Oryza sativa Japonica Group: one gene and its partners. The protein of the gene in region 3 binds, or shares a complex with, the protein of the main gene of each other region. Links are inferred from orthologs where the notes say so. Each region holds a gene or a part of one and is shown on either strand. Other genes may lie near its edges.

The links.
Region 1: mediator of RNA polymerase II transcription subunit 15a (region 3) and mediator of RNA polymerase II transcription subunit 23 share a complex: the UniProt entries of both Arabidopsis thaliana proteins name them as parts of the mediator complex. The link is inferred for Oryza sativa Japonica Group from reciprocal best matches to the Arabidopsis thaliana genes NRB4 and AT1G23230.
Region 2: mediator of RNA polymerase II transcription subunit 15a (region 3) and probable mediator of RNA polymerase II transcription subunit 26b share a complex: the UniProt entries of both Arabidopsis thaliana proteins name them as parts of the mediator complex. The link is inferred for Oryza sativa Japonica Group from reciprocal best matches to the Arabidopsis thaliana genes NRB4 and AT5G05140.
Region 4: mediator of RNA polymerase II transcription subunit 15a (region 3) and mediator of RNA polymerase II transcription subunit 30 share a complex: the UniProt entries of both Arabidopsis thaliana proteins name them as parts of the mediator complex. The link is inferred for Oryza sativa Japonica Group from reciprocal best matches to the Arabidopsis thaliana genes NRB4 and AT5G63480.
Region 5: mediator of RNA polymerase II transcription subunit 15a (region 3) and mediator of RNA polymerase II transcription subunit 33A share a complex: the UniProt entries of both Arabidopsis thaliana proteins name them as parts of the mediator complex. The link is inferred for Oryza sativa Japonica Group from reciprocal best matches to the Arabidopsis thaliana genes NRB4 and RFR1.
Region 6: mediator of RNA polymerase II transcription subunit 15a (region 3) and mediator of RNA polymerase II transcription subunit 18 share a complex: the UniProt entries of both Arabidopsis thaliana proteins name them as parts of the mediator complex. The link is inferred for Oryza sativa Japonica Group from reciprocal best matches to the Arabidopsis thaliana genes NRB4 and AT2G22370.
Region 7: mediator of RNA polymerase II transcription subunit 15a (region 3) and mediator of RNA polymerase II transcription subunit 27 share a complex: the UniProt entries of both Arabidopsis thaliana proteins name them as parts of the mediator complex. The link is inferred for Oryza sativa Japonica Group from reciprocal best matches to the Arabidopsis thaliana genes NRB4 and AT3G09180.

What each region holds. Positions count from the first base shown.
Region 1 is NC_089036.1:31,041,747-31,045,785, forward strand, and holds part of mediator of RNA polymerase II transcription subunit 23, read right to left. Parts: coding exon 4,017-4,039; intron 3,772-4,016; coding exon 3,554-3,771; intron 3,204-3,553; coding exon 2,990-3,203; intron 2,687-2,989; coding exon 2,400-2,686; intron 1,989-2,399; coding exon 1,905-1,988; intron 1,696-1,904; coding exon 1,601-1,695; intron 1,399-1,600; coding exon 1,236-1,398; intron 1,160-1,235; coding exon 914-1,159; intron 394-913; coding exon 226-393; intron 149-225; coding exon 35-148; intron 1-34. UniProt on the Arabidopsis thaliana protein: Component of the Mediator complex, a coactivator involved in the regulated transcription of nearly all RNA polymerase II-dependent genes.
Region 2 is NC_089039.1:20,347,142-20,351,745, forward strand, and holds the start of probable mediator of RNA polymerase II transcription subunit 26b, read right to left. Parts: upstream 2,920-4,604; 5' UTR 2,095-2,919; coding exon 1,504-2,094; intron 1,404-1,503; coding exon 1,335-1,403; intron 1,246-1,334; coding exon 1,163-1,245; intron 912-1,162; coding exon 856-911; intron 761-855; coding exon 636-760; intron 531-635; coding exon 503-530; intron 422-502; coding exon 42-421; intron 1-41. UniProt on the Arabidopsis thaliana protein: Component of the Mediator complex, a coactivator involved in the regulated transcription of nearly all RNA polymerase II-dependent genes.
Region 3 is NC_089042.1:28,443,285-28,447,323, forward strand, and holds the end of mediator of RNA polymerase II transcription subunit 15a, read right to left. Parts: intron 3,980-4,039; coding exon 2,534-3,979; intron 1,731-2,533; coding exon 1,389-1,730; intron 1,136-1,388; coding exon 941-1,135; intron 865-940; coding exon 776-864; intron 661-775; coding exon 459-660; 3' UTR 138-458; downstream 1-137. UniProt on the Arabidopsis thaliana protein: Component of the Mediator complex, a coactivator involved in the regulated transcription of nearly all RNA polymerase II-dependent genes.
Region 4 is NC_089038.1:19,469,021-19,473,539, forward strand, and holds the start of mediator of RNA polymerase II transcription subunit 30, read right to left. Parts: upstream 3,094-4,519; 5' UTR 3,024-3,093; coding exon 2,607-3,023; intron 2,178-2,606; coding exon 2,100-2,177; intron 424-2,099; coding exon 325-423; 3' UTR 1-324. UniProt on the Arabidopsis thaliana protein: Component of the Mediator complex, a coactivator involved in the regulated transcription of nearly all RNA polymerase II-dependent genes.
Region 5 is NC_089041.1:6,111,273-6,115,348, reverse strand, and holds the start of mediator of RNA polymerase II transcription subunit 33A, read right to left. Parts: upstream 2,801-4,076; 5' UTR 2,678-2,800; coding exon 2,403-2,677; intron 1,748-2,402; coding exon 1,637-1,747; intron 1,101-1,636; coding exon 756-1,100; intron 6-755; coding exon 1-5. UniProt on the Arabidopsis thaliana protein: Component of the Mediator complex, a coactivator involved in the regulated transcription of nearly all RNA polymerase II-dependent genes.
Region 6 is NC_089036.1:5,237,761-5,242,414, reverse strand, and holds mediator of RNA polymerase II transcription subunit 18, read right to left. Parts: upstream 3,055-4,654; 5' UTR 2,862-3,054; intron 2,781-2,861; 5' UTR 2,751-2,780; coding exon 2,715-2,750; intron 1,551-2,714; coding exon 1,451-1,550; intron 1,380-1,450; coding exon 1,322-1,379; intron 1,244-1,321; coding exon 887-1,243; intron 795-886; coding exon 683-794; 3' UTR 495-682; downstream 1-494. Other genes in the region: brefeldin A-inhibited guanine nucleotide-exchange protein 1, read left to right, coding at 3,335-4,320. UniProt on the Arabidopsis thaliana protein: Component of the Mediator complex, a coactivator involved in the regulated transcription of nearly all RNA polymerase II-dependent genes.
Region 7 is NC_089035.1:8,936,437-8,941,079, reverse strand, and holds the start of mediator of RNA polymerase II transcription subunit 27, read right to left. Parts: upstream 3,129-4,643; 5' UTR 3,104-3,128; coding exon 2,775-3,103; intron 1,002-2,774; coding exon 840-1,001; intron 49-839; coding exon 1-48. Other genes in the region: pentatricopeptide repeat-containing protein At5g57250, mitochondrial, read left to right, coding at 3,321-4,643. UniProt on the Arabidopsis thaliana protein: Component of the Mediator complex, a coactivator involved in the regulated transcription of nearly all RNA polymerase II-dependent genes.

The DNA of each region.
Region 1 (4,039 bases), on a different chromosome or scaffold from region 3:
ACCGAATAAGAAAAGAAAAAAAAAGGCAGAACACCTGAATTTGATGCCCTCTTTGCAGCTCAAGTTGGATATGATGCAGAAGAACATCAACCATTGTATAAATATTTGCTGTAACTTCTTCGGGTGAAAACTCTCTCAAAACACGGGCCTGCAGTAAGATTAAAAAGACATATATACATAGAGAGAATCTTTTATGTCAATATAATTGCTAATTAGAAATCATACAAGATTTGCACTGTTGATCTCTAGATGTCCGTTCATCAGCATCCAAGCACCAGCACAAAGATATTGACGATGCTGAGGGAAACTGTGACTTAAATATGTCATAACATAGGTTGGCTCAGCAGATGGTGAGAGTAGCTGATTACATTGATTAATAACAGTTGTCTCAGCCTGCAATGGAAGATAAATCATCAAGCATAAAAGGTAAGGAATATTTTGCCCTAGAAAAGCATTTCATTTAATAAGCATGTTATAGCAACTAAAGGACACCAGAAATAGTACTGGCTTGGAAATTCAAGACTTTTCGAGATCTTACAATTTTCTAAAACTAGTCTTGCTATACTGCTAATCTAAGCCTATTTCAAAACAAGACTGCAATTTTTATCTTAGCCAGCTAATACCATTCTAGAGGTGAAAGAATTCATTGCCGTTTGTAATAGTAATAGTACATAAAAAAGTGTAAAATCCATCAGTACATTCTCCATCAATAGACTGCTTATAAAAGAGTGATTACATGGTTTTAAAAAAATCAACTAACAGCAGCATGATTTGGCAACAACTGATACAAAAGAACTATAAACTCCCTAAATTGTTATTCGACGAATGTATATGAACTCCATATAATAGTCAAAAGGAGCATATAAATGGCCAAGACACCAAGTACTCAATCCAAAAGATAAGATAATAGTACCTGCTGCCATGCTTGGATAGCTTGGCCTCTCTTATCCATCCTCCCCATTAAAAAATCTCGAATAAGGGGAGGAAAATATCTTAGAGTCTTCTCTGACCATGTATGCTGGCTCGTTGCCATAATTTGCTCTAATAATGGTTGAAGATGAATTATATGTTCGACCTCAGCAATTCCACGTGTCTTCATGGTGATAGCAAGGCTTATTATCGTTATGCGGTTAAGTGTTTCAGTAAACTCAGTTGGACCCTACATTTACATAAATAAAGAAGTTCACTTTATGCGAATTTAGTAACAGGTGAAATTTCCAGATGAAGCAGGTTACCTTCAATTCTTTTTTCACCAAAAAGAAGTCTCTTAGTGAGAGAATCAAATTCATGCACAAATTTTCTGCTAATCTAAAAAGACGATGCTCTCCACGTTTGACTTTAATCATTGATATTATCTTTGTAACATCATACATCAATGCCTTGCTTTTCCCATGATACCTGAGCAGAAGAAATTCACATAGATGTAAACCAAAAGGTGCACCATAATATAAACAATAAATGGAACAAAACACTAAGATTTTTTCTAAATGATCATCAAACCTTTTTTGCTGAGGTCAGACATTCCAATTGTGGATATGCATGATAAGAAAAGGCTTTCAAGGCAAATAGCAGAAAACAAATATTAAATTACTTAAATTACCTGTATAGAGGAAGTAGCCTGTAATTCAGTATCTCAAGTAGGAGCAGAGACACACCAGATTTGCTCAGGATAGATGGAGATCTTTGTGTTAATGTCTGCAAGGTTTAATAAAACCATAGGAAGACATCAGAGTTTAAAAAGGAATATGAATTGCATGTTATTGAGGAAACTGAATTATGCTTACAATTGCAGAAAGTTAATTTAGAAATCAGAGCAAATGAATAATCAACTGTTAATCACAAGGTAGCATAAAGCCATAAACTTCACATGAATACTACAGATTACAACAGGAGGCAAGACTTACCGTAAAATGCGGGCGGAACAATGAATGAGGGGTTATAAGCAGCAGTCTAACATAGGTTTCCACTATAGCAATGCTAGGAACATTCTACCAAAGAACAGAAGAATTATGTAAGAAAATTAGTGTATGGTAAAGAGAGATGGACATTAGTACGTCAACAGAAGAACATATAGTTGTGATTATATGGGCACTTCTAGCAAAGTCATTCCGAAGATCAAAAATGATGAGCTGGTCATATACCATTAACATATAAAGTTATAAATCATTCATATATTACAGCTAAGTTCATTAACATGAGCTATTATGCCAGGAGATCTTAATAGATAAAAGATAAACATATGAATTGCTTGTCATTTTATTTTTACTCAGGATAGATTGTAACATATTGATTCTGATGTTTTTCAGTAATAATTAAAGGCACATGAGCACTGGTCTCCAAACCATAAAGAGCAGAGTTAAAAAAATAATAATAAAGATAAGCAGCAACAGTGTTTTTACCTGGCCAAGAAATATGGTCTCTTCAAGCTGGAAAGCAAGTTTCAAACATAGATTGATAGACAACCCAGAAAGCAATGACATAGACAGTGGATAAGTTTCACGCATCATTGTCATTCTTTCATTTGGCTGCAAATTGGGTCCCTGAATTAAATCTGCTACTCCTACTGATGTAAACCAGTTCATGACTGCTTCACATGCTGGTTGTGCCATGGTGAAGGAGAGAACCCAAAACATGCCCATCGCCCGCTCATCCAAGCTCGTAAAATCTATCATCCTCTCCCCAGAAGCTATTATTGCAAGGGAAACAGTAACAAAGCTTTATTACAGATACATGAATGGGGACAAAATTGAAAATAACAGTAATGGTTTACAGCCAAATATCTCTCTTTTCAAGAAAATGTATCCACCTCCTGAATTATGAGTTGTGGTGTTACTATGTAGAATTTTCTACACTTAATCAGTCCATATTGCCTACCCAGAATCTACCGGAGAATTTCTTTTCCATGAATTCTAGATCTACCAGGCAATATTTTATATCAAAAGCATAGTGATACTTTCATATTCCATGAATAAGGACAAGTACCAAGTACCTTTTGTCATTTGTCTCCACCACTCATCTATCTGTTTGCCTTTCTGAAGCTGATCACTGTTCAAATGCTCTCTAATTGAAGTGTTGAAAGACCAAATCCGCAAAGTTTGGCTGCTACTTATGAAATCAAGAAGAATACTTTGAGGACTGATATTATTTGGATCAAGGCTCTTGTCTTCTTTGTGGAACGAAATTATCTTCCTTGTAGTTTCAACCTGGTAACAGAAGAAATACCAGAATGGTATATAGAGTTATAGACGGTAAATTAAGACAACCACAAGACATCATGAAAGGAAACATTAGAAGTATTACCAAAAGTTTGTATGTATTTAAAGTTTTATAGCAATTGGATGTGAGATTAGTTTAGCTGAGTTTGTCGATCGCTGTTATTACTTGTTAGTCCTTGCAGTTCCCAAAAGATGAGCACGAAACAAAATAAAGCACTCTGAATATTTTCATGAGGAAATCTTTTTTTGGTACCAAAATCATGTCATCAACTAATCAATTGAATATGATTCACCAAAAGAAAGAGGTGTTTGCAGATGATCTTAGAAAGAGACATCACCTTCCTTGGGTCCGAACTAAGGGTGTTCATCACAATCTCAATGCGGATAATCTGTGCGAGTAACCAAGTGACATGATTACTGCGAAGAATCTGTTGATCACTATTTGTTACTCGAGATGCAAGCTTGTCCACGAAATCAAGAAAATCAATACAGCCACTTTTCATCAGAAAGAAAAAAATGTCAGCAAATAAAAGCCAATCTTGCCAGCACTGAGTCTCTGCAACAGCATAAAAAAGAAAGAATGAATATAGGCAACAGACAGTTACCAAAGACTTGCACATATCTGACAATAATGGTAAGCAAATTTAATTTCTTGAGGTAAAAGTTTCACGTTCTAAAAGAAAAAATAGTGAAAAGGGTGCATCAATAGAACATTTGAAATTTATATTCCCATCAGCTGTCCACTTGAAAAAGGAACTTTATTATATTGACAAGGTAAATGGTTAACTTTCAAATTCTAACCTGAGTTCGTGAGCCTCAGTAGT
Region 2 (4,604 bases), on a different chromosome or scaffold from region 3:
TTATCATACTATTAGGCCTTAGTAATAGCATATATACTTACATCCACATGGCTCGCTGCAGGTTTTCTTTCAACAGCAACCTGCTCTCGAGCCAGTCTAGATTTCATCTCAACAAAGGGCTTCTGCTGAGGAGCTGCCCTTAATGGTCTCCCAGGTCCAGAATCAGAACTCAAGGGCTTAGATTGCTTGTGAAGCATGGCCTGCTGTTTGACTTGCAAACTTGAATTTTGAGGGGTTTGTGGGTTAGCCTGCCTCATTGATGGCTCTTGCCTTGCCAATTCCGGCCTCCTGGATTGAACTTTTTCAACAGCTCCCATGTTACGGGGAGGCTCTTGCTTTGTCAAAGCTGGATGGCTTGTAGGCCTCCTGCCATAATTTTCTCTCTTATTTCCAAGGCTCCCATCATTGTTATGTCTCAAGTCTGTCATAAAATGTATAACTTGAATTATTATAGTGCACAGAAAAAAAAGGGAAACTATGTAATTTGAGTTGTTGTACTTACTTCCATCTTCATCCATTTCATCAAAGAACTTTAGGTCAGGAAGATGAAGCAGAAAGAAAAACAACAATGCAAAGTTAGAATTGTGTTCTGGACCAAAACAATCCAGATACCAGGAACAAACAAAAATTAGTACCTCAGAGAGTTGAATAGCAGTAGTCTGGGTTGCAAAGAACGCCCCTTCATCCAGAGGTGGAGAAGGAAGCCCTTCATCATCAGCATCATCGACAACAGATGTTTTTGAAGAGCCCGGGGAGTTGTCTACAGATCAAAAGATCCATTACATGTTAAGAGGTGAACATTCACTTACAAATTGATGACTCATACGCGATATGAAACAAAATAACTTTTATTACCTGTAAGGGCAACATTAGTGGTGCTGACCCACTCATCAACCAAAATTTTCCAACCTCTGAAAAAAAAATGTTTTAAGACGTCAACAATGTTTCCAAAATTGGTTAATAACCACACTACAAATAAGGTAAATAATTCACTCAAGTAGTACAAAGACTGGAGAATACAGAAGCTAAATCAGTAGACTCGTATCATGTTTTCAGAAACTTATAGGTACAGTAGAGTATCAATTTGCTTCAGCAAGTTCTCTAAATTAAAAGCTAGATCAGCCCTAGAGAATGAAATTTAGTGCAAGCATATTGAACTTACTCAATGAGAGTGCGCACAAGGTGACGAATTTGCTGCGAGTTGTGCTTCCGCAGCCCATTAACAGCCCTCCCAATCTCAGTAGCCTACAACAAACAACATCGGAGATTAGCAAACCAAACAGAACCACTATGCGTCACTCCGCATAGCTCATATGCGCTATCCAACACAGTACCTTCAGCGTGGAAACGGACAATTGCATCAGCTGCAGCCTCCTCAGTGATTCGAACAAAGTAGCATCCGACTGCGAAAACCACAGTTGAGATCAAATGTTAAGTCCCTGTTGAGGAATGGCACAACTCTTACTCATGGAAGAACTGAAAGCTGGGAATAGTTCATCATACATGATCTTCCTTGTGCAAGAAGAGGTCCTTGATGCGGAGAACCTCGCCGACGACCTGTGACTCCTCGTCGATCTCGTTGGTGAGTGCCTCAAGCTCCACAGCCTCGGGGTCCAGCTCTTGTTCTTCGTCCTCTTCAGCCGGCGCCGCCTCCTGCTCCTCCTCTTCCTCCTCGTCGTCATCATCGTAGTTGTGACCGTAGTTGCTCGCCGCGGCGCGGCGGAGGCGCTCGTCGTCGGAGTCAGAGTCAGAGTCGTCATCGACGTCGTCGCGGCGGCCGCCGCCGCCGCCGAGGGCGCCGTTGCTGCTGCTGTCCACCTTGCTCTGCTTCTCGGGGACGCGGCGCACGCTGCCCTTGTCCTCCTCCACGGGGGTGGCCGGGGTCGGGGTGGCGGCGCTGCCGCACCCGTGGTGGCAGGGCGGGGCGCGCGGCGCGGTGAAGAGGATCTCGCAGATGCGGTCGCGGCGGCGCAGGAGCTCCTGCGGCGCGTCGGCGGCGGCGACGAGGATGGCGTTCTCGATCACGTCGCAGATTCCGGCGGAGCCGGCCGCCCCGCGGAGGAGCTCGCGCCACCGATCCAGCCGGTCGGCCATCGCCGCCGCGGCCACCCGAGATCGGGCTCCCCCCACCTCCACCTCCACCCCCACGACTCCGATGGCTCCCCTGGCACCACCAAGAATCGATGCCCTCTCTCGATCACCTCCTCCTCCTCCTCCTCACAATCTTGAAATTTCTTTTTCCCCTTATCAGATTACGTTGCACCAAAAGAATCTAATCCAACCCGATCGCGAATCAGATGCCCCCCACCGAGGGAATCCCCCAACCGGGAAAGCGAAATTCTCCCGAGACAGCGAAAAATCAATCTAACGAACACCGCTGCCTCTCCTCAACGCCAAGAACGAATCAATCAAGAAGAGAAAACCCCAAAAAAAAAAAACAAATCAATCCTCACACCACCCAAACCCAATCTCCCCTCCCTTCCTTTGCTTCACCCCCACGTCCACGTTACTTGACGATTTCAACCCAACAAACAAAACAGCTCCTAACCAAATCTTATCTGTGCCGTCGCCGCCGCAGGAGGAGGAAGACGACGACGACGAGGGGGAGAGGGAATGCGGGGAGGGGGGTTGGATAGGGACGCGGCGGATGGCGAGGCACACGCAACGCAAAAACGAGAGCCCACGAGAACTACGCAAGCTCGACTCTACCAAACAACAACAACTACTCCTCCTCCTAATTCCCCCGCACGCACACCACCACCACCACCATGGCCTCCTAGTGGTAACAACAAATCTCGCGTCTCCCTTTCCCAACTCCTTCCGTTCGTCTCGTTCTCTCTCTCGCGCAACGGAGGTCGCAGCTTTTCTCGGTCTAGGACTTTCCGGGGGGGCCCTTTTTTTTACCGGGTTTGGGGACACAGCCACACAGGGCGAGGTCACTACGGTTTTGGAGAGGGAGGCGGCCTCGTGGCTGTTTCTCGGCTTTGACCCTGTCGAGTTGTTGGTGGGATGCAGGTCCTCTCATGCAGTAGGCTCCCTGACATGTGAGCCCTATAGCCCCTCGGGCCCACATATTAGTGAGCAGTACGGCACATGCAGTACTGGAGAGGATCTCAACTGTTGTTGGTGGGAGTGGGACTAGTACTACTCTTTCCTGTAGTGTTTGGTTGGTAATAGTAGCATTCGTTTTTTGTTTATTGGGCTAATGATTCCCGTTTGATATCCACTTAATTCAAGTTTAGTTTTCAAACTTGGGTAGGTGAGCATCATCTACCATAATATCACTGTTATTATATAATAGGATCATCCTCTTATTTGTTTCATATATAAGTGTCTATAGTATGTGAACCAGTTGTATGCACGTACCCACCTCCATCCCAAAAGAAAAACTCAACTTACGAAGGATTGTCCATTTTTAGATGAATAGAGTACTCTCTCAATTCTATAAAAGACTAAATTAGTACGAAATATGATATATTTTAATACTATAAATCTGAATAGACGTTCAACACTATGTTATTTTTTTTATGGAACCAAGAAAATACGTGCATGCAACCGTAGCCGCCGTAGGCCACTCAAATTTTAAAAAGTAAACTTGGATTGTATCTATATAAATATATTTGTGGTATTAGAATGTGTCACGTTTCGGTAATAGGGTGGTTTTTTTATGGAATGGAGAATGTGCTTTAGGAGTACTATTAATTGTTGAGGCCCAATGGACTATTTTTGGCATCATTTTCGAAACATGGTGCGAGGAAATAGTATTGGATTAGTAAATGCCAATCGATGGTTTGATATAGTATAGCACAGTAGTACACCGTAGGATCAAAGAAATATTTATGCTCTGTATAGCTTCTTCTTTTTTGAATAGAAAAAGAATGGAGTACTTTTAGCATCCTTTTCAAAACAAGGTGCTAATGTAGTAGCGAAATCTTGGATTAGTAAATGGCGATCAAGATTGATTAGCAATATACGCTGTATCATCAAAGAAAATATTTAGGCGGCAAATACTCCTTTCTATTTATAAAAAACTGAGCTATCTATTAACAGTGAAATTTGATAATCGACAAAGGCGTCATCGGCTTAGAATCATTATCGGCTGTAGCATCTCGGAATCAGCCGATGAGAGTTATCAAGTCACCAATAGTCGAATTCCTGCTATATTCGGTTAAGGAAATCAATCTACTAAAGGAAGCTTATCTCTAAGTGACCGAGTTTAAAGAGGATGCGGCATGGCAGTTTATCTATTAATTAGGAATAGTTTGTTAGTTTCCTTTTTATCTTTAGAAAAGTGTGTTTAGTGTCCGATAAGGACTTTATATTTTCCTTTTATCTTTAGGTCTGTGTACACTATCATTAGTAGAGTAGAGTACTCTATGTTTATTAGTGTAAAATTCCTAACAAGTAATCAACCGTTTCATTTAATCAGGTGATAGTTATGTCTTATAGAAAATTGACTCAGTTATAGCGTGCCACATTTAGAAAAGTTTACTAACGCTTTTTTTCCTAAAGTACTTTCTTTTACTCCCACTAACGGTTGATATATATGGTCCACGGTTTGTTTTCTTTTTTGTTTTTTCACCCGGATTTATGCGGTTGTTTCC
Region 3 (4,039 bases):
TTCTGTACATGCTCATTGATTACCGCCATTCCGCATATGAAAAGAACACACAAGAAAAGAGAAAACGTCCGACGAAACTGGTCTCAGCACATCTCAGAAAATCACACGTCCTTCAACTGTTGTCAATACACAACATATATTACGAGCAGCGATCTCACAGTATATTTATATTAGAATCAAACCAGGCTGGAGATGTAGACTGTTCTGTACAAGAGGGGCCGCTACCAAATCCAGCTAGTAAACAGGGAGGATTTCCAAAAGTACAACCACACATAATAAATAAGTACACACCAGTAGCAATTGCATGTTTGCTAAAATGTTAATTATGGTTACATATATTTATGTGCATATATTTATAGAGCGATGCATTAACCGTTCCAGTTAAGGGCGTGCAAGCGATCGCACAATATCGATGCAAAACGAAGATTGGTGCCAGCAGGACTGAAGAAGAATGGGGATTAAGCACCCACGCAATTTTCCCAACAACCATAGCTCGAACTGAAACTGCCTCCACCAGTCTGTTGAGCATACTCAGCAATTACTTTGCGGGCACACGCGTCCCACGTCCTCGCAATTTCTCTTAGTGACATGGGCTCAGCTAAACCCCGAAGCAATATGCTGAACTTCGACCTCGCTTTGGTCGACAGGTCATCCGAGTTTCTATAGCAGATTCACAAGCACAATGCAACATCCTTAGTTTATTTATGTACAGAGAATCAGGACAGCCTAATATGTAGTACCTGGCGTAGAATCTGATAAAACATTGGATACTGACCTTTGTTCATCTGGGAACTTGTCTAGGAGAACCGGGGAGCACTTAGGGTAGCTAGCGGGGACAAGCACCCTCAATGGCAAAATTGGACTCTGCCACACATTTTTAACATGGAACATCAGCGAACAATAAAAGCCGATACCACAGATCATGCTTTGAGAAGCTTACCATCTGTGCTGATGCAAACATGGACTTCAAGCTGGGGCTAACAGCCACAGCAGTAAATGTGCATTTGATGACTGTCCCTTCTGTCCCTTCTGATGTAGCACCAAAAGACTCAGCATCATCCTCGCAAACATGGAGCTCTGTATCTATGAGCTGTTGGTTTATCTCATGTATTTCCTCCATAAGAGCATGGTTTATCTGCAGGTGCACCAGAGACAAGATAAATAATAAAGGTAGCCAAAAATTTAGAATAGCTCCCGTCAATTTAACTATACTTCCCTTCTCTGGGCCCATATATGTAATGGAAGTCATTGTGGAAACAAAACAGCTGGATAATCATGATATTTTAGTTTATTCATCATGCCACTAAGTTTCATCTATACAAACGATTGTGAAGCTGATCACTGAGGCATATAATGTATTGATCCCTATGAAATAATAAAGAGCATACCTCGGTTTTTTGCCACTTTACACGTGAGGTTGCAGTTGACTGCAATTCAGGGGTACCTATGCTGAATGTTTGCTTCAAACTGTCATTAACACTTCCAGCTGATGACACATTAAGAGGCATAGCACTAGTGTCACGCTTCATTTTCTTTGATGTACCGGTCCCATCATGTGTTATGAAATTCCTGGCTTGCAATCGGCACTTTGTCATAGCAACTAAATCTTCACCAACAGCAGCTCTAGAACCATTACCAGGCGCAGACCCAGCAATCCTGTCAATCATGCTGACAACAGAACCTATGTCGCTTACTGCAGCACTCAAGGACTGGCGTTGTGTTGTCCGCAACTGCCATACAGAACACAAGGGACATGAATCATGCAAGAAAAAAAAAGGGACAGGAAGGTAAATCCTCAATTTCAATCTAAAGGGAGGGTATATGCCTTCTATATGATCAAAATTTGTTTAAGGAAGCTAATTTGAGGGGAATAAAAGGTATTAATGATTTCTTCTCTTTTAGCACAGCAGCAAAACAGGCTATCCGGAAAACATAGCTAGATTCCACAGAGCAATAGTGAAGAGAAATAAATAAAATAGGTCAATGCTAAACCTATCAAGTTCTTCAGATGTCAAGACTCAAAGAGTCAACTTTAAATAAGCAGTAACATGAAATGACCAGGCATGATGACTCCCATGCTTTGCATCCCCTTGACTTCAAAATATTTGTGTACAGATCTAACATGTGTGTTATTTGCATAATCCCTTAGCACACGCATATGTGCATGTGACTGGGATTTTAGCATAGTATCCCTTTTTGACATAATTATCAAGTTCAGAATTTACGATATACTTATCTGAGATCTGCTGCAACCTTTGGGCATCATTTTAGTTATCGTTTGATAAACTAGTTGATTGAAACAGGGTAATGTTTGTATTAACTTTAGCAAGGTAGGTGCACGAGGTTACAAGCAAAAGGCATGGCATATATAACTCCTGAACTAAATATTTTAGCTGAGCCTACTGTGTTCTTTATGCCATAGTTAATTACGCTTTAAAATATACTCAGAATAGCACTGATTAAATAATAAATTTATTTTGCACTACAGAAACGAAGAAAAGACAGTAAATAAAAAGTTGGCAAAGTTACTGACCGCTTTAAGTAAGCGGTCTAAAGGCCTTTCTGCTGCACTTGATTTGGTTAGAACTTGGGTTGGCATGTTAGCCTGATTTCCATCAACACTTGTAAATTCTGCCAACAAGGGTGAGGCCGAGATCCCTGGAGTGTTAACGGCGATTGATTGTGACTGAGGCGCCATGTTTGTTTGCTGATGTGTAGCCTGACCAGTATTAGTAAGTGATGATGATAAATTGGAGAGTGGTTTCTCTGAATCCACTGGTATAGGAGACGGGGCAACAGGTGGCGATGGAGATGGCATATATGGTGAGTTAGCTGACTGCAATGGTGTCCCGGTCTTCACTTGAGACGGCAAGAGATTGTGCTGATCAACCTGAGGAGAATGGTGTGAAATTTGGGGGGATGATGCTTGGAGGTTTTGTGGTGACGAAATTGGGAAAGCACTGCCCTGTTTCATTTGCTGATTATAAAAGTTATTGCGCTGAGCCAAGTGCTGTTGATAAATCCCAGGTTTCATTGCAGCTCCTTGTCTAACCTTCAGCTCGTTTGCATCATTTCCAGAATGATGCTGTGGAACCTGCATCTGTGATTGCTGCTGTTTCTGTAATTGTTGCTGTGCTGGGAGTTGCTGCTGAAGCATTTGTTTTTGCTGGAACTGCTGAAACATTTGACGCTTCATTTGCTGATTCTGCATCATATGATGCTCCTGCTGTTGCTGCTTCAGCTGCTGTAATGAATTTGCGTTGGCTTGCATGGAATTGGCATTAGCCTGCATTGTACCTACTGAGTTGTGAGATAACATGCTACTACTGGCCTGCTGTTGTGCATTCAGTGTACCCTGCATGGGCCCAGTGCTTCCCTGTTGCAAAGCACCACTCATTGAACCATGCTGCAAAGAATTAAAATTGCTTCCTTGAGTAACCTCCAAATTAGAGGTAGCCTGTGGTGCATTTGTGACATTTTGCTGTGTTGCTGGAACACCAAAGTTTGTTGCTGGGGATGCAGGTAAATGTTGGATACCAGCTGCACCTGAGGATTGTAATCCGGTGCTCATACTTGGCATGCTTGCTTGAGGCATCTGATTAGTATGGTTATCATGCTGCTGCAAACCTTGGGAAGGTTGTTGTTGTTGCGGAATGTTAGAGGTAGGACCTTGCCCAGCAGATTGTTGAAATTGTGTCTGCTGGCCTTGCACCCTTGGCCTCTTTTGCGAATTTAGGATACTGATAATTTGCCTCTCGTACGCAGGAATTTTGTCCCTAAGGGCAGGCTGAATGTTGCCCTTGTTCAATTGCAGAACATGCATTGTACGCTCCAACATCAGTTTGAAATTCTTCATCTTTTCATACTGTTCTGTTGGCTTTTGAGGTGGAACCATGTTGTCAACATGCTGTAGCTTCAAAGAGATCTTATTGTACAAATCATTTAATTCAGGAAAATATTGGTCCTTTAAGTTCTTCACCTGTGATCACAAGAAAGAAAAACACAAAAGCTATGAAGGGATGGATACTACAGAAAAGAA
Region 4 (4,519 bases), on a different chromosome or scaffold from region 3:
AAATATCATCATGCTCGACAAAGGAAAAAGTGTACAGAGGTCATGGTTGCTCAAAGAGTATACAGAAGTCTTGGAAATGAAAGCAAGGCCAAATTGGTGGGAAAATATACACCAGATGTTTGTTTCAGTTACTAGCTACTTCGTGTTTATCACTACTCATAGTACACTTTCTGAATACTTGAAAGAAAAATCATTACAATATTGTATTTGCAAACTGATTGTATCCCTTCAGATTTCTCTCTCAAGGTCAGCTGATACAATTTTGCATTAACATACTTCTAGCTATGATTTTTGGATTCCTAAAGGATAAATGCCGATGAGTTTTCACACTGAGCAAGGACTCTGCCACATTGATATGTCCGATATTAAATCATGGAGTTGGTCGATAAGGAGCTTTACATGCTTGTTTTTGCTTTCAATTTCCTGCAGTAAACATCCTGTATTAGACTGGTTTACGGTACCAGAGAACAGTATGCCACATTACTAGGTTGAAACAAAAAATGTATTATATATGTCAAAAGCGTGAGGACTCAAAACTTCCACAGACCATGATACCACGGGCATATATAGAAATCTGAACTAGGACACATGGGATCAGCTAATTGAGATTGTACTGACCAGTGTATGTTTAAAATGAAATGCTTTGAACTTTTTAGGAACAAACTATGTAATCGAGGCATTAGAGAACACTGTTTGCTACATAGTTATTAGAACTAGACCAGACCAGTGGTCCGATCAGAAAAAAAGGGAACCAGGGCGTTGGCTGGTCCAGTCCAGCTAAAAGATCGTTGAGCAAACAGACCGGCAAAAACCCATTGAACCGGGCGGTTTTCTGCAGAACCAGACAAAAACCGAAGGTGGTTCGACTGCTGGAGGGTGTCACGTGGAGTTAGAGAAAATAGGAAAAAACCTGCTGAACTGAAGATCGAACCAAGACCTCCTTGCTTCCACGGAGAGTCTCAGCCGGCTATGTCACATGTTGTTCTAGTATTCTAACACACATCTATTTGAACCGCTTTAAACCGGCGGTTTGACTGGTCCGACCAATAAACCAGTGAACCGAGTACCCTAACAGTTCGATCACCGGTCCGGTCTTAATAACTATGGTTTGCTACACTTCAAACATAGGAGTACATGAAAATCACTGATCTCAATAAATCATACAAATGGAACTGAATAAGCCACAAATCCATTTTTCTATACACATTTATACACATCAAGGAGAATAATCTGTATTTATGCTATAATGATCTAGCATAGATAAGGAGTAGTTGAGACTTACAAGGCCATTACAGCCAACAGCCCTCCAAAGGATGAAAAGGATTTGCTAAATAGTCCAGAATCCAATTAGCATCAAAGGTGGATTTGCAAAAACTTACTCCCTCTGTCCCAAAATAACAAACCTAGTAACAGACCCCTATCCAGATTCCTAGTATTAGGGTGTGTCACATTCCATACTATGTTTATTTATTTTGGGACGGAGGGAGTAAGTTCTAAACTAGCAGGCAAATCCAAGTATGCAAACAATAATGACATGCAGTATCCAGTGCAGAAAAAACAATGATAAGATAACAACTTAACAAGCATGAATATTGCCAGGAAAGATCAAGATGGAACGCTTTTTTGACGAGTTCAACAGAATGAACATGACTATCCAAAACACTACAAGCAACACAGTATCACAGCTTGCCAAACTAGATCCTGGCTATCTAAAATGGTTTCAGGTAAAAATTGGGGATTACACTCTTCTCAGGACTTTTTGAATTAAAATGATTGAAGCATAAAAGGAACATATATATATATATATATATATATATATATATATATATATATATATATATATATATATATATATATATATATATATATATATATATATATATATATATATATATATATATATATATATATATATATATATATATATATATATATACACACACACACACACACACACATTATGTTCAAAACAGGTTGTTTGGGAAATATTTGGGATTGACATGGCTAAATAAGCACCAGTTACCAACTGGTTCAGGGAAAAATTCTGAATACAGCAAAATGATATTGATTATATTGCTAGAACATTCCCAAGATAGTACCTTTCTCAAAGCAGATGCATGTTCTTCCAATCTCTCAATCTCAGCTTGATCAGCTTTGTGTTCTGTCGATCCCATCTCCTACGAAGAAAACCACAACATCATTACAAAGAAGTAAACTGTTATGAGGTTTCTCCATAGCACCATATTTTGCACATCAGGATTACACTTACTGCTAAAAATAGAATCATATAAAACTACTATTTTTGTCTCATGAACATTGAACACTAAAAGCTCATGTTGATTGAAACATATATATAGTCCACATCCATGTAGTCCGAACCTACATCACAACATCCCTTACATTCCCTTACATTGGTATCAATAATAAGAAATTTTCTTTTGCAAAAATTATTTGGCTCCCTTACCTATGTATAAGCACCTAACTTGATATCAACAAAGAGTGCAATACGTTTCACAATTTCCACTAGACGATCACTAGAAACACGCATTTCGTGGTTGCATACATACTACGGGAGCATGCAATGTCGGGTAAATTCGTGTGCTGACCTGAGCACAGGACGACACGGCGGCGATGGACGTGCGGAGCGCCGCCATGGCGACCTTGTACCGGTGCCTGGCCTCGTCGAGCGACCCGCCGGAGCCCGGCGCGCCCCCGGGCCCTCCCCCGGCGGCGTCGGCGGCGTCGGAGTCCGCGGAGTGCAGCGGCGGCGGCGGCGGAGGGAGACCGCCGTGGTGGTGGTGGTGCTGGTGGTGGTGGTGGTGGTTGTTGCCGTGGTGCTGGAGTCCGCCGGCGCCGCCCGCCGCGGCGGCGGCGGCGGAGGAGGAGGACCAGAGCGTGGGGTTGCAGAGCTCGTCGTTCATGGAGGAGAGGATCTGGAACGCGGCGGCGATGGTCTCCTCCAGGTGGCGCTGCCCCTCCGCCGCCATCTCCTGCCGCCGCCGCGCCGCCGCCGAGGAGGCCATCGCCGGAACCCTAGCCGATCTGCTCCTCCTCTCGTCGGCGCTGGCTGTGAAGTGAACTAAGCTTAGCTTCAGAGCCCAACATAGTCCAAAAGCCCAAAGGATATGTTGATTTTGGGCCGAAGCTCGAAGCCCAGGCCTGGCCTTATCAGGGCCCTAGTATTTGAGCGGAATAAGTCCAATTTGTCTCCCTCGACTATAGGTCCAATCTGATTCGTTCTCCCTTAATCGCAAACCGTGTATATCGAACCCTCGGCTATTAACACCGGTGAATAAAAAAACTCTTTTTAGTTATTTTGAGGGTGGTTTTCGTTAACGTGGCTCATTGAACTGGTCTAACCGATTAAGTCAGCATGTGGGACCCACATGTCGTCCCCTTCTCTTTCTCCTCATGCTTTTGTTTTTTCTTTTCTTCCCTCTCCTTTCTCCACGCGGTGACGAGCTCAAGCATGAATAGTGTCAGTGACTTAGACGACAAAGCCACCACCGACACAACCAACTAAGCTTGGTTCTGTTGGCAACCTTGTGGAGCAAAGGAGGGAAGGGCCACAGCGGTGATGGAGAGTCGGAGAGGCCCAGTGCTGCCGTAGATGTCCTCTTCATTGTGGGCTCCAACGGTTGCCACACCGAGGCCCCTCACTGATCTGGACAAAGCCGGGTCCCATCAGTGTTTCTCCTTCACAGATCCGAGCCTCAAGCCACTTCCCCTTCTCTCTGTCGCCTCCTCTAATCCGACGTCCTTTTCCCACCTTCACCTCTATCAACGCCTCGGTTAATAAGGCCTAGCAATGGACAAGGATGGTGATTGACCTCGCTGTCATCGAGATCTAAGAGTCCTTCTCCTTTATATGTTGTGGAGCCATACATGGCAATAGTGAGGGAGAGAGAGAGGAGGGTCACGTGCATATCTCTGCATGGCCAAGGGATAGCCACCACCCGTCGGAGGACAAGGGGTAGATGTCGACGAGCTCTTGTAGTCATCATTGCCACCGAGGGGGAGGTCATCCTCGATGGCTCGCTGGAGCACGTCGTCCATGTCGTTGACCTTAATGACAGACTCAAGCTGTAGGCAATGGCGAGCACATGCCCCCTATCCTTGGTGGGCGTGGCAACCTTGTTCCGCTACCGTTCTTGGTGAGGGCAACGAGGCAAATCCAATGAGGCAAGCGAGCTCGATCTTGATGAAGCTTCTCCAGAGATAGGAAATGTCGACATGTGTGTCCTCGATTGCTGGAGTCCAACGTCTCCCGCCCGTCTCTAGCCACCTCTTAGACGACACTTCGTTTGCTCCACCGTACCGAAGAGCGGTGGTCGGTGTCCTCTCCTGATCCCAGGAAGGGGGTGGAATGGGAATTGGGAAGAGTCACCTTCGTCAGATGCTCAGTGGCATCCCTATCGTCTTCCCTTGTTCTACCGACCGCCTTCCCAACTAGAGCTCATCACCATGTAGGGAAAGGATAGGGAAGAAAGAAGATAAAAGTAAAAGAGGGAGGAGGGGA
Region 5 (4,076 bases), on a different chromosome or scaffold from region 3:
ATTGCCTGAATCATCAAGACTCGTTAGTACTGGTGGTAATAATAACAAATTAAAGTAGCATACTTTTTCAAAAAAATAAAAAATAAAAACAGTAAGTGAATTCAGTTGTGGTGTCTTAAGGATGCCCTTGATCCCCACTTTGGAAGTTTAAACGAATGCCTTCTACCAATGTACTGTTATCCCAATAGTTCATTTGTGTACGATTCTAGTACAGTTATGAACACAAACAGCAATATCAGACAATATTGGCATGAGTATATCAGAGCTTGTCCCCCATGGCCAGAGTTTCTATGATTCTATCAGTGATCCTTCTTGGTTATAAAGTAGTAGAGAAAATCATTTGAACATTACAGTTGCAACCAATCAAGCTTGCTTGTTCATACAACCAGTAGTCCTTCTAGAGTACTATTAGTTCACATTTTAGCATTGCGGTCGACAGTTGTTTTATAAAAGTGTACAGCCATTCCATAAATACAATGAATCTGATATATTCCAGAAAAATATTGGCAATACCCTGTATACTCAGAAGACACAGAAGCTTGACTTGAGAACCTTAAGCCAATAGAGAGAATGTTTTCAATTATATGGTGCATATGGAACACAGAGATATTTAAGCCATACATTAACTCACTAAAATAAAATTAAGTTGCTATCAATTGATATAATAACAAAGGGATAAATTCACTGTTTTTAGTGATAGGAAGAAAGAGCTGGAATAACTCAGTAAAGCAGTACATGAAGTTGAAAAGCCATACATGTTTTCGCGTGCCAATGAGAGGATATGAGTAATTACTTTGTCATGAAGAAGATGCCCAATGAGCTCTATAGTTATCACATTATTCATCTTCTGTAACTTGTCAATTTTGTCTATTCTTTGTTCAGAGAAAGTTCCATCAAATGCACTCACATCATCTGATCTAGTTGGCCAATGAGCTTTCTTATCCGGTATCAACTCTAACAGGCCTTCGTCATCTAATGCAGCATCAACCAACTGCCATAACATGCAAAGGGTAAATTCAACAACAAAAACCCCTGGTTCGCATGTTGAAAAGCCAAATATCTTTGAGAGACCAAGGTTATCATCTATTAATTGCATGATCCTGCGGAAATATGAGAAGGTGTCATGAAACTTTGCATTTAGAAGACAACTAAAGGAATGATAAGTTGCAGACAGAATGACAGATACCTACACAAGGCATAAACATAGGATGCTAACAGAACAGACATGTCACAAGAAACAAACTCTTTAAAAACTAACATGAAAGAACTATATGCGAGTTGAAAACATATAAAGTGACACCTTAACCAATTCAACCGAAAATATTATGTATCACTGCAGAACTGGCCCTTTCAACCAGGTGAAATTCTTCCTTTGCAAATTGTTGCTCTTTGGAACAGATCTTGATATGTCCAGTATGCAGATGCAATAAGGTGGTCTAGATGTATTGTGGTAGACACCCAAAACTCTAATTGTCAGCATATCGTATTAAAATTCCCGTCTTATATAATTCTTTTGAACAGTACTGAATCGTTCAGAATGATGTACATGTTCCTGTGATGTATATTTCGAAACCTCTGAACATAGAATGCGTGCATTATGAAACTACTGGGAACACCTCATAGAAGGAAACCTCACTTTTTGAAATTCGCCGCTTTCATCTGAAAAGCAAAATTGAATCCATGTCTCCGCAAGAGCTCCAGATAAAGTCTATATGCAGTTGGCCTTGTGAACCGGTGAGGAATGACCCTGAATGGAGAGAAACCATCAACGGAATATTTGCAATCAGTCTTATATTCTATTTTATAGAACATTCCACAGCAGCATAGCAGATATTGAAAATGTGCACGGATTTCGCCAGTTGGTTATACGATTACTGCTGAAAAGCACATTTCAAACTGCACTTGTTATTCCAACTAGCATGATCTAGACTCTAGAGAGAAGAAAAAAAGTGAAAAAAATGAAACAGAGTATTCTGCTGCTATACATGTATTAAATTGATCTGCATTACACTGCACACTCGAGTACTCTACATACACTGCCATTCATATACTTCTCAAATTTATGGGTATTACGCACAGTAAGCACGCCACCATCCCTTTTCCTTCTCAAATTTACAGGGCCCAAAACATCAGATTGTTTATGATCATGTACAGGCCACGCTGTAGAACAACTTGCATTTGTGGTAATCTGGTTGCGAGGGAAATCTCATAGATCGAAACTAGTAGCCTGATCCGATCGCGATTGCGCGGATTCCATCAGACAGTACACCCCACGTGAGCAGGAGCCCATGTCAGATACCACGCACGCAAATTCGTCTCTCCCCGCGCGCGCGCACAAACGCCACTGCGCGCGCGTGGGGGGAGGGCAATGGATGGGAGCGGGGGCGCCGCGCCGTCCGTACCTGGTGGAGAGGATCGCGAGGAGCAGCGCCGGCGACGCGAGGCCCGCGGCGAGCGCTGCCTCGGCGTACTTCCACGCCGCGCCGCCACCGCCATACAGCAGCGCGCGGGCGAGCATCTCGGCGAGCCCGGGCGACCACGGCGCGTCCCCGGCGGCGGCGACGACGGAGGCCACCCGCGCGGCCCACTCCGCGGGCGGGCGCGACTCCGCCTGGGCCGCCTTGGTGTACTCCGCGGCCCAGTCCACCCACGCCGCCGCCGCCGAGGGCGCCGCCATGCTGGACTACTCGCCGCCGCGTGCCGTGGCCAGCCTTCCTCGCCGTCGCCGTCGTCGTCGCCGCAGGCGTCGCGGGGGTGGGGAGTGGAGTGGGAGGGACGAAGCGTGGGATGTTTGTTTGGTGGGAAGGAGGAAGAGAGAGAGAGAGAGAGAGAGATGGTGGTGGTGGTGCGCGTTGGTGTAACCACTTCGCCCACTGCATCACCACCAGGCACCAACACGAGGTGGTCCCAGCCCGCCGGATCCTCTGCTCCGCCTCACCCACCTCATCTATCTTGTGTGCGTGTAGGCGTGTAGCCATACCTATTCTAATTCAAGGAATAAGAGGAGCCTACGCGTCGGGCGACCGATGGGTTTGGAGAAAAATCGGACGCTGACATCAGTATGACGCATGCGTGCAAAACTACTTTAAACTAATTTTTCTCTTAAATTATTTATCCAAATCATGATTTCACCATTAAATTCGTTGCAATTAAATCTTCAAAACAAGATCACACACATAGATATATTCCGATGAAAAAAAATTTAGCTTATTATTGAATTATTTTAAAATGTTGCACGATATTCTACCAAGTATATCGGAATTTTTTCACTAAGAGATCGAAAATGTTTCAATAGTTTAAGTCGGGCGTTGTTTCACCTTATATAAAAATAATGTTTCAGCAAATAGTGAAAGAATGTTTCAGTTCACTGCGACATTAGATCTATACACAGTGGAATATTGTGGGTATAAAAGGTAAAACATTCTTCGTGGAAAAAAATGAAATGTATTCCCTTAATAGAGTGTTTCCAAAATATATAGGTGATTTGTTGCAATGGAGTATGTGATAGAGATAAGTGGCAGGTGGGGGTAGAGACGTGGTGGGGCCCAGGGCAGTGCGCGTCGTGGGAGGAGGGAGCGCCCGATTTTTCTCCCTCCCCTGAGCGACCGATTCCTAGCATTCCCCTAAGGAATATCAAAGTCGTGTTCTTTTAGGATGTGTTCGGTATCTCTGATTCCCAACCGGAACAGTACGCACAGAAAACAGAGCAGTCCATTAGCGCGTGATTAATTAAGTATTAGCTTTTTTTCAAAAATAGATTAATTTATTTTTTAAGTAACTTTTATATAGAAACTTTTTTTAAAAAATACACCGTTTAGAAGTTTGAAAAGCGTGCGCACGGAACACGAGGTAGAGGGGTTGGGAACTCTGAACAAAGAACACAGCAAGCTTTTCCAACTTATACCCTATCATTTTCCATGTGTATACTTTTAGCTAATACTTAATTAATCATGTGTAAATCTACCACTCCATTTAGCGTGTTCGATGAAAGGTTCCCAACCCAGATAAACGAATCAAGCCTAAGCAACCGTTGAGTAGCTACTAGCAGTACCTCATGAAAACATGTAAAATGTAGT
Region 6 (4,654 bases), on a different chromosome or scaffold from region 3:
AAATCTGAGGAAGAAGATGCATGTAAACTGTAAAGGAGCTGGAGCTGGAAGAGCAGGAGGAGATGGCACTTCATCCTGCACTGAGCATCAGGATGAGTTGATCTCGTCAAGTTGTCAGCAACCTAGCTCTCTCCCCTCCTCTCTAGTTACTCCGGCTTTGTTTCGTTTTGCAGCAACTTTTAGGAAGATCAGTTGTCATTGAGATACTTTGTTGACTATGCAAGTAATGCATGCAGTGTATTCTGATTTCTGGTAACTTGACTGCTAGACTTACATAATAACTAGAGAAAATAGTTTGATGCACACTAATTAACTAGAGAAAAACTACTGGGCAATTGAACGTCCCAAACCATGAGATCCTTACCACGTATGTGACCTAAATTAAAGTAAACAAAGCTACCATCAAATATATTGTCAGGATCATGACAAACTCCAGCTATCAGTCTACCACCAATATCGTCAAGCTTTCCCAGCATTCAGTTTCCACTCTTCAGTAAAAGCAAGCAATGATCAGTGTTCATTTACCAGTCTCCAAAGCAAGGTAGGCAGCATTTAGCATGTCATTACAAGAAAAACCATGGTGCTACTGACTAAAAGTTACAGAACTAAAGATGGCAACAATGTTTTAAGTGGGATGGTCAATGGAGATCATCATGGCATTGCAGCCAACACATATGACCGATCACAACGTTTTACCACCACCACCACCACCACTTGACATGAGTGAGGCGGCAGCAGCGCCTGCAGTCGGGACGATTCCAGTCGAATTGCCTGGTTTAGAGAGATGCAGAAGCCTGCAGTGTGTTTTGCAGTCAAAAGTGAGAAAATTCGTTTATGCCAGTCTAGTAATAATCTTGAGATAGCTAAGGAACACTTAGTTACTTACGGTGCTAGATATTCACAGAACGAAGTGACGGCTGAAACGACATCGTTGTAATTGTCAGCAGCAGCAGGGGCCGTGATTTCCACTAGCTGTATTGCAGGAGTGATTGGCACAGCTTCGTTGGTAGCATGGAGTTTTGTCATCTTGCTAACAGAGGTAACGGTCACAGTTATCTGGGCACCTCGGTGGAAACGAAATGCAAATCCTCCCTTCAGAACTTCATGATCTAACTTGTACCCTATACCGTAGAAGTAACGCAATACATTGTTGCTGGCTTTGCTCTCTACAATTGACCGCACAAGGACTGAGATTTGCTCTGCACCAGCACCTCTCATGGCACCTCCAACATGTCTTATGGTCCTACATGAATACTACTGGATTCAGAATATCATCAAATATCACAAAAATGTAAATTTTAGCAGCTGAAAGAAAAGTTACCAGGATGGCGTGGACTGAGCTAAGTCACACAATAAACGAACCTCTGATGGGACAACTCCTGTATGATTGGAAGATGTATATGAGTAACAATGGCATATGATCAGAATAATGAAAAAGTTGCAAACTGACCTAGATTTGGCCCACTTTTAAGACAGAGCTCATGCACTCTGACACGTTCTTTTGGGACACCAGAGAGGCCCTGGAGAAGAACCTCAAGAGCATCAACATGCTGCATAACAAGAAGATCAACCAAAAGTTACACTGATGTCAAAGCAATGAAAACTAAAAAAGGTTAAATGGTGTTCTAAGCACAAGACATTGACATGTGTATATAAATTAATCCCTTTATTGTAAAATTACAAACCATATAAGTGATATGATTCCTCCAATTGTATATAAAATAGAACCATATCAACATATTGAAAAGAGAATCAAAAAAAGTCTGCAAGTGGCAGAAGTAGTGCCCTCAGAGTGGAGAAACATGGTTGACCATATAGTGGTCAGCATGATCAACTGTATACTTTTTTTTTATTATCCTGAAGGGAAGTGTTGATATGCTGACAAGAGGAAGCTATAAGAGACTAACAAAAGGTCATATAGAGACAATGGATCGACGACAAAGTCTTAATGCTGGCATGAATTATTATTCTCTATTCCCTGATGTGTTTCGTTCAAGAAAAAAGAAATTCTCTATGGACATAAAGTTCCAATACTACTTCATGCTATATGGAGTGAAAAAATAACTTTGTTCCTAAGTAGGACTATTGAGATGTAATTTGACATTGGGGCTATGCAGTTGATAGATTTGCTACCTGGGATAGCTTAAGTGTTACCTTTCAAAAGGTTTTATCACAATTACATTTACAGAGGTCTGTTTTCAGGCAATTGACACCTCCAACAACAAAAATGCTATCTTAAATCAAGTGATAGAAAGTTCATTTAGTAAACGTCGAAATTCTACATTCCAACTCCTTTGGATAAGGTTACTACAAAGCGAAAGGCCAAATAACCTTATGCCAAAAATTAAATAAAATTCAGAATTCTAGATACAACATACAAGTAAGGAGCGCAAATGTCAGATCAGCAAACTTGACTAGTACCGATTTCCCAGAAAGGCCTACCATCATACAAAAATCAAGAATCCATGAAGAACATCACATCTACCATCACTCCGGCTTATGTTACGGGCCATGTATGATTTTCCGGGTAAAAGTTCAAATTGGTCATGTTTTACAGCATAAACAGACAAATCAGTTTCATATGAACAAAAATGCATCGTTGCATAGCTACAGATCACTCATTCTCGGAAGAAACTACCGTTCACTTCAACAACCGCTCACACAGTCACCACTCATACAAGTCTACTGGCGAAGTGAGAAAGAAGAACAATAACCTGGGTCTCGATGATCCCCTGCACCACGCACTCCATCAACCCCACCGCTTCTCGCTACCACAATCCCTGCAAGAGAGACAAACCCTGAAACCACGCTGCGGAATTTCGTCGAACAGCTACCTCGCAGCAACAAAAATTCACCCCCACCTTTAACCTAACAGCAATAATCCGCGGCGCGGCGGGGGCTGAGGCGTCGGGAAGTGAGCCGATCCGAGGCGCAAGAGCTCCCCCCACCTCGCAAACCCCGCGTCCCCGAACACTCCCCTCTCCGCCACTGACCGCTCGCCGTCCTCCGCCGCCTCCTCCTCCTGCAGCGATGGAGACGAGAAGAAAGAATTCCGAGAAACCGAGGGGGGTAAAGTGATAAAATGCCTCACCCCCGCGCGAAGGGTCGCGGCGTTTTTGCATCTAGGCCCCTGGAAGAATCTGAAATTTCAGTCATACCCTTCCTCTGACTTCTCCTCTTCCTCTTCCTCCCCCACGCGCTCGTCTCGTCTTCCTCTCGAATTCCCATTTTCTTCCACCTCCTCCTCGTCTCGAGGTCTCAGATCCAATGGCCGCGACGGCGACGGCGACGACCACCGCGTAGAGCGCGTGAGAGTCTGCGTGGACGGCTAACTATGGCCTCGCCGGCGGGGGCAATCGGCGGCGCGTCGCCGTCGGGGCGGGTGCTGGGCCCTGCGCTGGACCGGATCATCAAGAACGCGGCGTGGCGGAAGCACTCGGGCCTCGTGGCGGCCGCCAAGGCGGCGCTCGACCTGCTCTCCTCGTCGGCGTACGCGTCGGCGTCGGCGCCGTCGCCGCCGTCGCTGCTGCTCGGGTTGCCGGCGGCCGCCGCGGACGCGTGCATCCACGCGCTCCTCCTCGCGCTCGAGTCGGCGTCCCCCAAGGTCGCCGACCCGGCGCTCGACTGCGTCGCCAAGTTGCTCTACCACCGCCTCCTCGTCGGTGATCTCGGCGGTGGCGGCGGCGACGACGACTCCCCGTCCTCCAAGCTGCTCGCCGCCGTGCTCTCCTGCGGCGCGCTCGCCGACGACGCCATGGAGCTCTCCACCCTCCGCGTCCTCGTGGCCGCCGCGCGGTGCCCCTCCGTCGCCATCCGCGGGGAAGGGCTCGGCCAGATGCTCAAGACCTGCTACAACATATACCTCAGTAGCAGCAGCGGCGCCAACCAGCTCTGCGCTAAGCTGGCGCTGGCGCAGGTGCTGGTGATCGTGTTCGCGCGCGTGGAGGTGGACTCCATGGATGTGCGCGTGCGCACGGTGTCGATCACCGACATGATGGACATGTCTGACCGCAACCTGAATGACTCCAGCATTGTCCATGCGGCGCAGAGCTTCATAAACGAGACGATGGAGGGAAGCGATGTCCCTGAGCCGGGGTCCCCGGTTGAGCCGGCCGAGACGGATGGGAAGGAGGATGTTGTCATGAGCAAGATCAGGGAGGATGGGTTGACACTGTTCAAGAACCTGTGCAAGCTGTCCATGAAGTTCTCGACGCCGGATAATCCCGAAGATCAGGTCCTGCTGCGCGGGAAGGTGTTGTCTCTTGAGTTGCTCAAGATGGTTATCGACAATGCTGGGGCATTCTGGAGAACGAATGAAAAGTATGATATGATACTCATTATTGTCTTACTTCTGTGCATTTTAACAGCTCAACTTGCTGTGTTGCCTATCTATATAAATATTGTTGTTGCAGTGATTTAGAAGAATGCAGATGGCTTAAATGACTAAGGGAAGGAAGGCATAAAATGTTCAGTATAGTAATTGATATGGAGGCTTCATGTTTGCCTAGTAGTAACTCAGAAATTATGGATACACATTTTTCTGATACTAATACATTATTTTCACAATCCAGGCACGCTTTACTATTATCTGCTTGGATGTGTCAACATTTTGGCTATATTTTTTTAATGTATTATGATGGATGAAAATTTTTCT
Region 7 (4,643 bases), on a different chromosome or scaffold from region 3:
TGAGGAAAGAACCTTCTTTTCTGGTCAGTGAAGGCCTTGAGAGCTAACCTGGAAACATCTATATGTTAGCATAAACCTGAAATTGATATACCTCTGAACATTATAAACACATGATAAATGGATAATAAAAATTCCATATGTCCTTGCCTGTTCACAAGCCAAATAATTTGTGCATTAAGCAGCGGCATACATTTTAAATTTTAAATTTAAAAAAGGTGAGGCCAGGCCACTAGGTACAATCGCATGTGGCTGATAGCTGTTAAGTTTAGTATAGTAACCCATTTTTGTAAATAGTAATAAACTTCGGGTATCTTGTCATGGGGACTAGGGGATGATCCGAAGGCTTGAAGCCTTCAACATAAGTACATACATCTAAAGAAGCACATGAATGAAGGGCGTTGGAATATTTCCGATGCATTCTGTGTAAAATCAAAATAAAATATGGATGCAACGAAAACAAGAACTGATCTAATACTTCAATTCCTACAAAAGCACTCCACACCTTGGAAGAATGTAATTATCATAGTAGAAGGATTAGAGAAAGCAAAGTGCAAAAGAAGAAACAAAAGAGGGAAAAAGGAGAAATAAGGGAAAAAGGGGAAAGAGGGAAACAACAGTACAAATTTAAAGGGGAAAGAGGGAAACAACAGTACAAATTTATCGGCCAAGAAAATTATCGTATATCGCAGGAAGAAATAACATGGTATAAATATTTAATCTGCATTCTGCAATGCACGGTTGATGAAATCTCACACATCAACAGAATATAAATAAGACAAATAAGCACATCATATTGTGGCAGCAAACATACAACACAACAATGATGGTAATGAAATTACCTAGTTCTGTCAACAGCTGATGCACCAGCCTGACCAGCCAGCTGACGCTTCCAAGCATATGCCACAACTGCACCATCTGGACAAACAAGTGGCATGTGCAAGCCCCATGAATTGCCTCTGGCTTTAAGGGCTCCATTTAGAACTCCAGACTCTTCCAATTGCCTTCCTAACAGCAATGGATACAAGATATTTATTAGGCTACAGTTTAAAAACTAGATCTTTACTTTCAGTTGGCTAGGCCAACACTTATGAAGAAATAGTGGAACTTGAAACTTGAAGTTCAATAAAAATAATTGGAACTTACCAGGAGAACTGTGTAAGCAATGATTGATGGTTCATCACAAAGTAAAAACATCATGAATAGCAACAAGCACAACTAACCCAAACACTATAACAAGAATACTGTGAAAGAACAATAAGAAAGCACCAGCAAAATCGAGTGAATCCATCCTGTTCACATACCTAACTTTATTGAAGATGGCTCCTAATATCCTTTGACTTAAAAAAATCTCAGTCACATGGCTTAAGCTTATCTAGTACTCCTAACTTCAGGATTTTCACAAACTAACTATTCTGTCTAAAATCATAACTATATCACCTGCAAATTTCATCTTCCGTTTATCTAGCAACTTCAGGTTGCAGAAAGACTCAAAAACCATCGTTTAACAAGCAGTTCATATTGCTTGGACATTTTATTCATCAGACAGAATAGTACCATGTTGCCATGAAACATGGATTTTCCAAATGCCTGCAGACTTCTTCAACAAACGACTGGTCAAGTGGTCACATGTAAACAATTGTACCCAACACATAACTGCTCTGCTGAGACAATATTATAGAGTGAGCACCTACCCTACATCCTTACCATCCACGAGTGATACTAAAACTAGTTCGAGCCCTGAGTGGCACTAAGGTGGTGTTTGGATCCAGGGACTAAATTTTAGTCCCTGTCACATCGCATGTTTGGATACTAATTAGAAGTATTTAACGTAGACTAATAATAAAATTAATTGCATAAATGAGAGCTAATTCGCGAGACAATTTTTTTAAACCTAATTAATCCATAATTAGCACATGTGTACTGTAGCATCACATAGGCTAATCATGGATTAATTAGGCTCAATAGATTTGTCTCGCGAATTAATTCAAGGTTATGAAATGGATTTTTTCATTAATCTACGTTTAATACTTCTAATTAGTGTTAAACATCTGATGTGACCGGGACTAAAATTTTAGTCCCTGATCCAAACAGCCCCAAAACAAGTTCAAGCTGAAGCTGTTCAATTAAGGTTAAATATTGCTCTATTACAAGCCAAGGAACACGAGTTCCAGAAATGCATCCCAATCTGATAGACCCAGGCACCCAGCCAATATTCTAGAATGCTAAAGTTCATATACCAAAGTTGAGCAGTTAAGCCTGTCCGTGCATCTCTCGTAGCAAGGTTTCATAGGTAGAAGGGTTTCACAAGATACAAGCAATTGGATAACACCAAAGAAGAGTGTGGCATCAGTTTATGGTGATTAACCATTATTACAGAACAATTTAGTGGAAAAAAAATGTGCTGCCATGCCTAAACTGGGAAGGAGATTATTACTTTAAAAAAAGTCCAATCATACAATCCAAAGAAGTTAAATCAATATCCCAGCCACCAATTTCCAGAAATTATCTAGACAAGGGTTTTCCTTTTTCTTCTTGAGACTGCAACCGTGGTATCATGACGGGAATATTTCTTTTTCATTTTGAGACTGCAACCGTGGTATCATGACGGGAATGTTCCTTTTTCATTTTGAGACTGCAACCGTGGAATCATGACGGGAATGGTTCTTCTCGGAGGGAATTAGTTGTATTTTGCGACGTAACAGTCAAAGGTTAAGGAATCGATGAAAAACTTCTGAATCGGAGAGTGTGGGGGCACGGGGCGGAGATGGGTTTACCTCCCGAGCGCGCGGAGGTCGTCGAAGTGGCGGTGCATGGCGGCCTCCTCCTGGGCGACGGCGAGCGCGGTCTTCTCAACGTGCTGCGGGGCGCTGTGCGGGGGCGCGTCGCCGGCGACGAAGAGCGCCTCGAGCAGACGGTCCGCGCCCAGCCGGATGTCCGCGATGAGCCGCCCCGCCCGCCCCAGCCGCTCCATCGCCTGCGCCACCTGCTTCGGCGGCGCGTCACCCCTCGCCCCCTCGTGCTGGTGCCCCGTCGCCCCCGCCGCCGCCGCCGCCGCCGCCGCCACCGGCGCGGCCACCACCGCCGACGCCTGCGCTTGCTGCATCTTCCTCTTCTCCCCTTCTCGCTTCCGACTCGAAACGCCTCACCTAAATAAGCCCATATCCAAACAGGCCCAGAACCAATACAAGCCCATATCTATTCAGGCCCAGATCCAAACAAGCTCGTATCCAAATTCGGCCCACGCCATCGGCTTCCAACGTTTCGAACGTTTGCGCTTCGCTTCCCACGCGGCGGCGGCGCCACCACCACCACCCTCCGCCATGCCGCTCGCCGGCGGCGAGCCCCGACCACCACCGCCGCTCCCGTCGCTGGTCAAGCTCGGAAGGGCCGTCACGCCGCGCCGCGTGGACATCCTACTGGCGGCGCTCCTCCGCCGGCGGAGGCACCGCCTCGTCGGCGCGCTCGCCTCGCAGGCGGTCGCCAACTCCGTGCGCCCCACCGCGCGCACCCACCTCCTGGTCGCCTCGGCGCTTCTAGATTCTTCCCGTCCGCGCGACGCGGCAGCGCGCCTCGCGCTCGCCGGCCCGGCAACCTCCTCCGCGCGCCGCCTCTGGGACGCGCTGCTCCGCCGGGCCTGCGCGGTGCGCGGCGATGCTCGCCGCGCGCTGGAGGTGCTCTCCGCCGGCGTAGAGGAGTGCGGGCTCGTGTTTTCTCCGTCCACGTATCGTGTGGCCCTGACGATGCTGTGTGCCCGCGGTGACATGGAGACCGCGCTCAAGGTGTTCGACGTAATGGCTGCAGCGGGGTGTCAGGTGGATGATCGTGTTTGCAGCGTGATCATTTCAGGCTTCTCCAAGGTCGGGAAGGCTGGGGATGGGCTGGAATTCTATAGGAGGGTGAGGAGAGAGTTCAATGGATTTGAGCCAGGCTTGATCACATTAACCGCTTTTGTCGATGTGCTTGGCCGTGTAGGGAGAACTACTGAGGCAGCACAATTGGTAAGGGAGATGGAAGGGAAGGGGTTGGTTGGTGATGCTGTTTTATATGGCAGCTTGGTTCATGGATACATGAGTAGCGGGTTATTGATGAAAGGGCTCCGTGAGCATCGGGTGATGTTAGATAAGGGCATTGCAGCTGATGTAGTTAGTTATACTACTGTTATTGATGGACTTTGCAGAGAACGTAGTGTGGAAAAAGTGATGGGATTCTTGGATGAGATGAACCGAAGGGATGCTAAGCCGAATTTGATCACTTATACATCATTGATTGGTGGTTTCTGCAAGAGAAACAGGTTGGATGATGCTTTTTCTATAGTGAGGAAACTGGAACAGACAGGAGTGGTGGTGGATGAATATGTTTACTCAATTTTGATTGACAATTTGTGCAAAAAGGGATATTTGGATAGGGCTTTCTCTTTGCTTGAAGAGATGGATAAAAAGGGGATAAAGATTGGAATCGTAACATACAATTCAGTAATAAATGGTCTATGTAAGGTTGGTCACACCAAGAAGGCTGTTGAAATATATGAAGGTATTGCTGCTGATAACTTCACATATAGCACGCTGTTACATGGTCACATTAAGGTAGAAGATGCAACTGGTGTAATGGCAATAAAAGGTAGGCTTGAGAGCAGCGGTGTTACA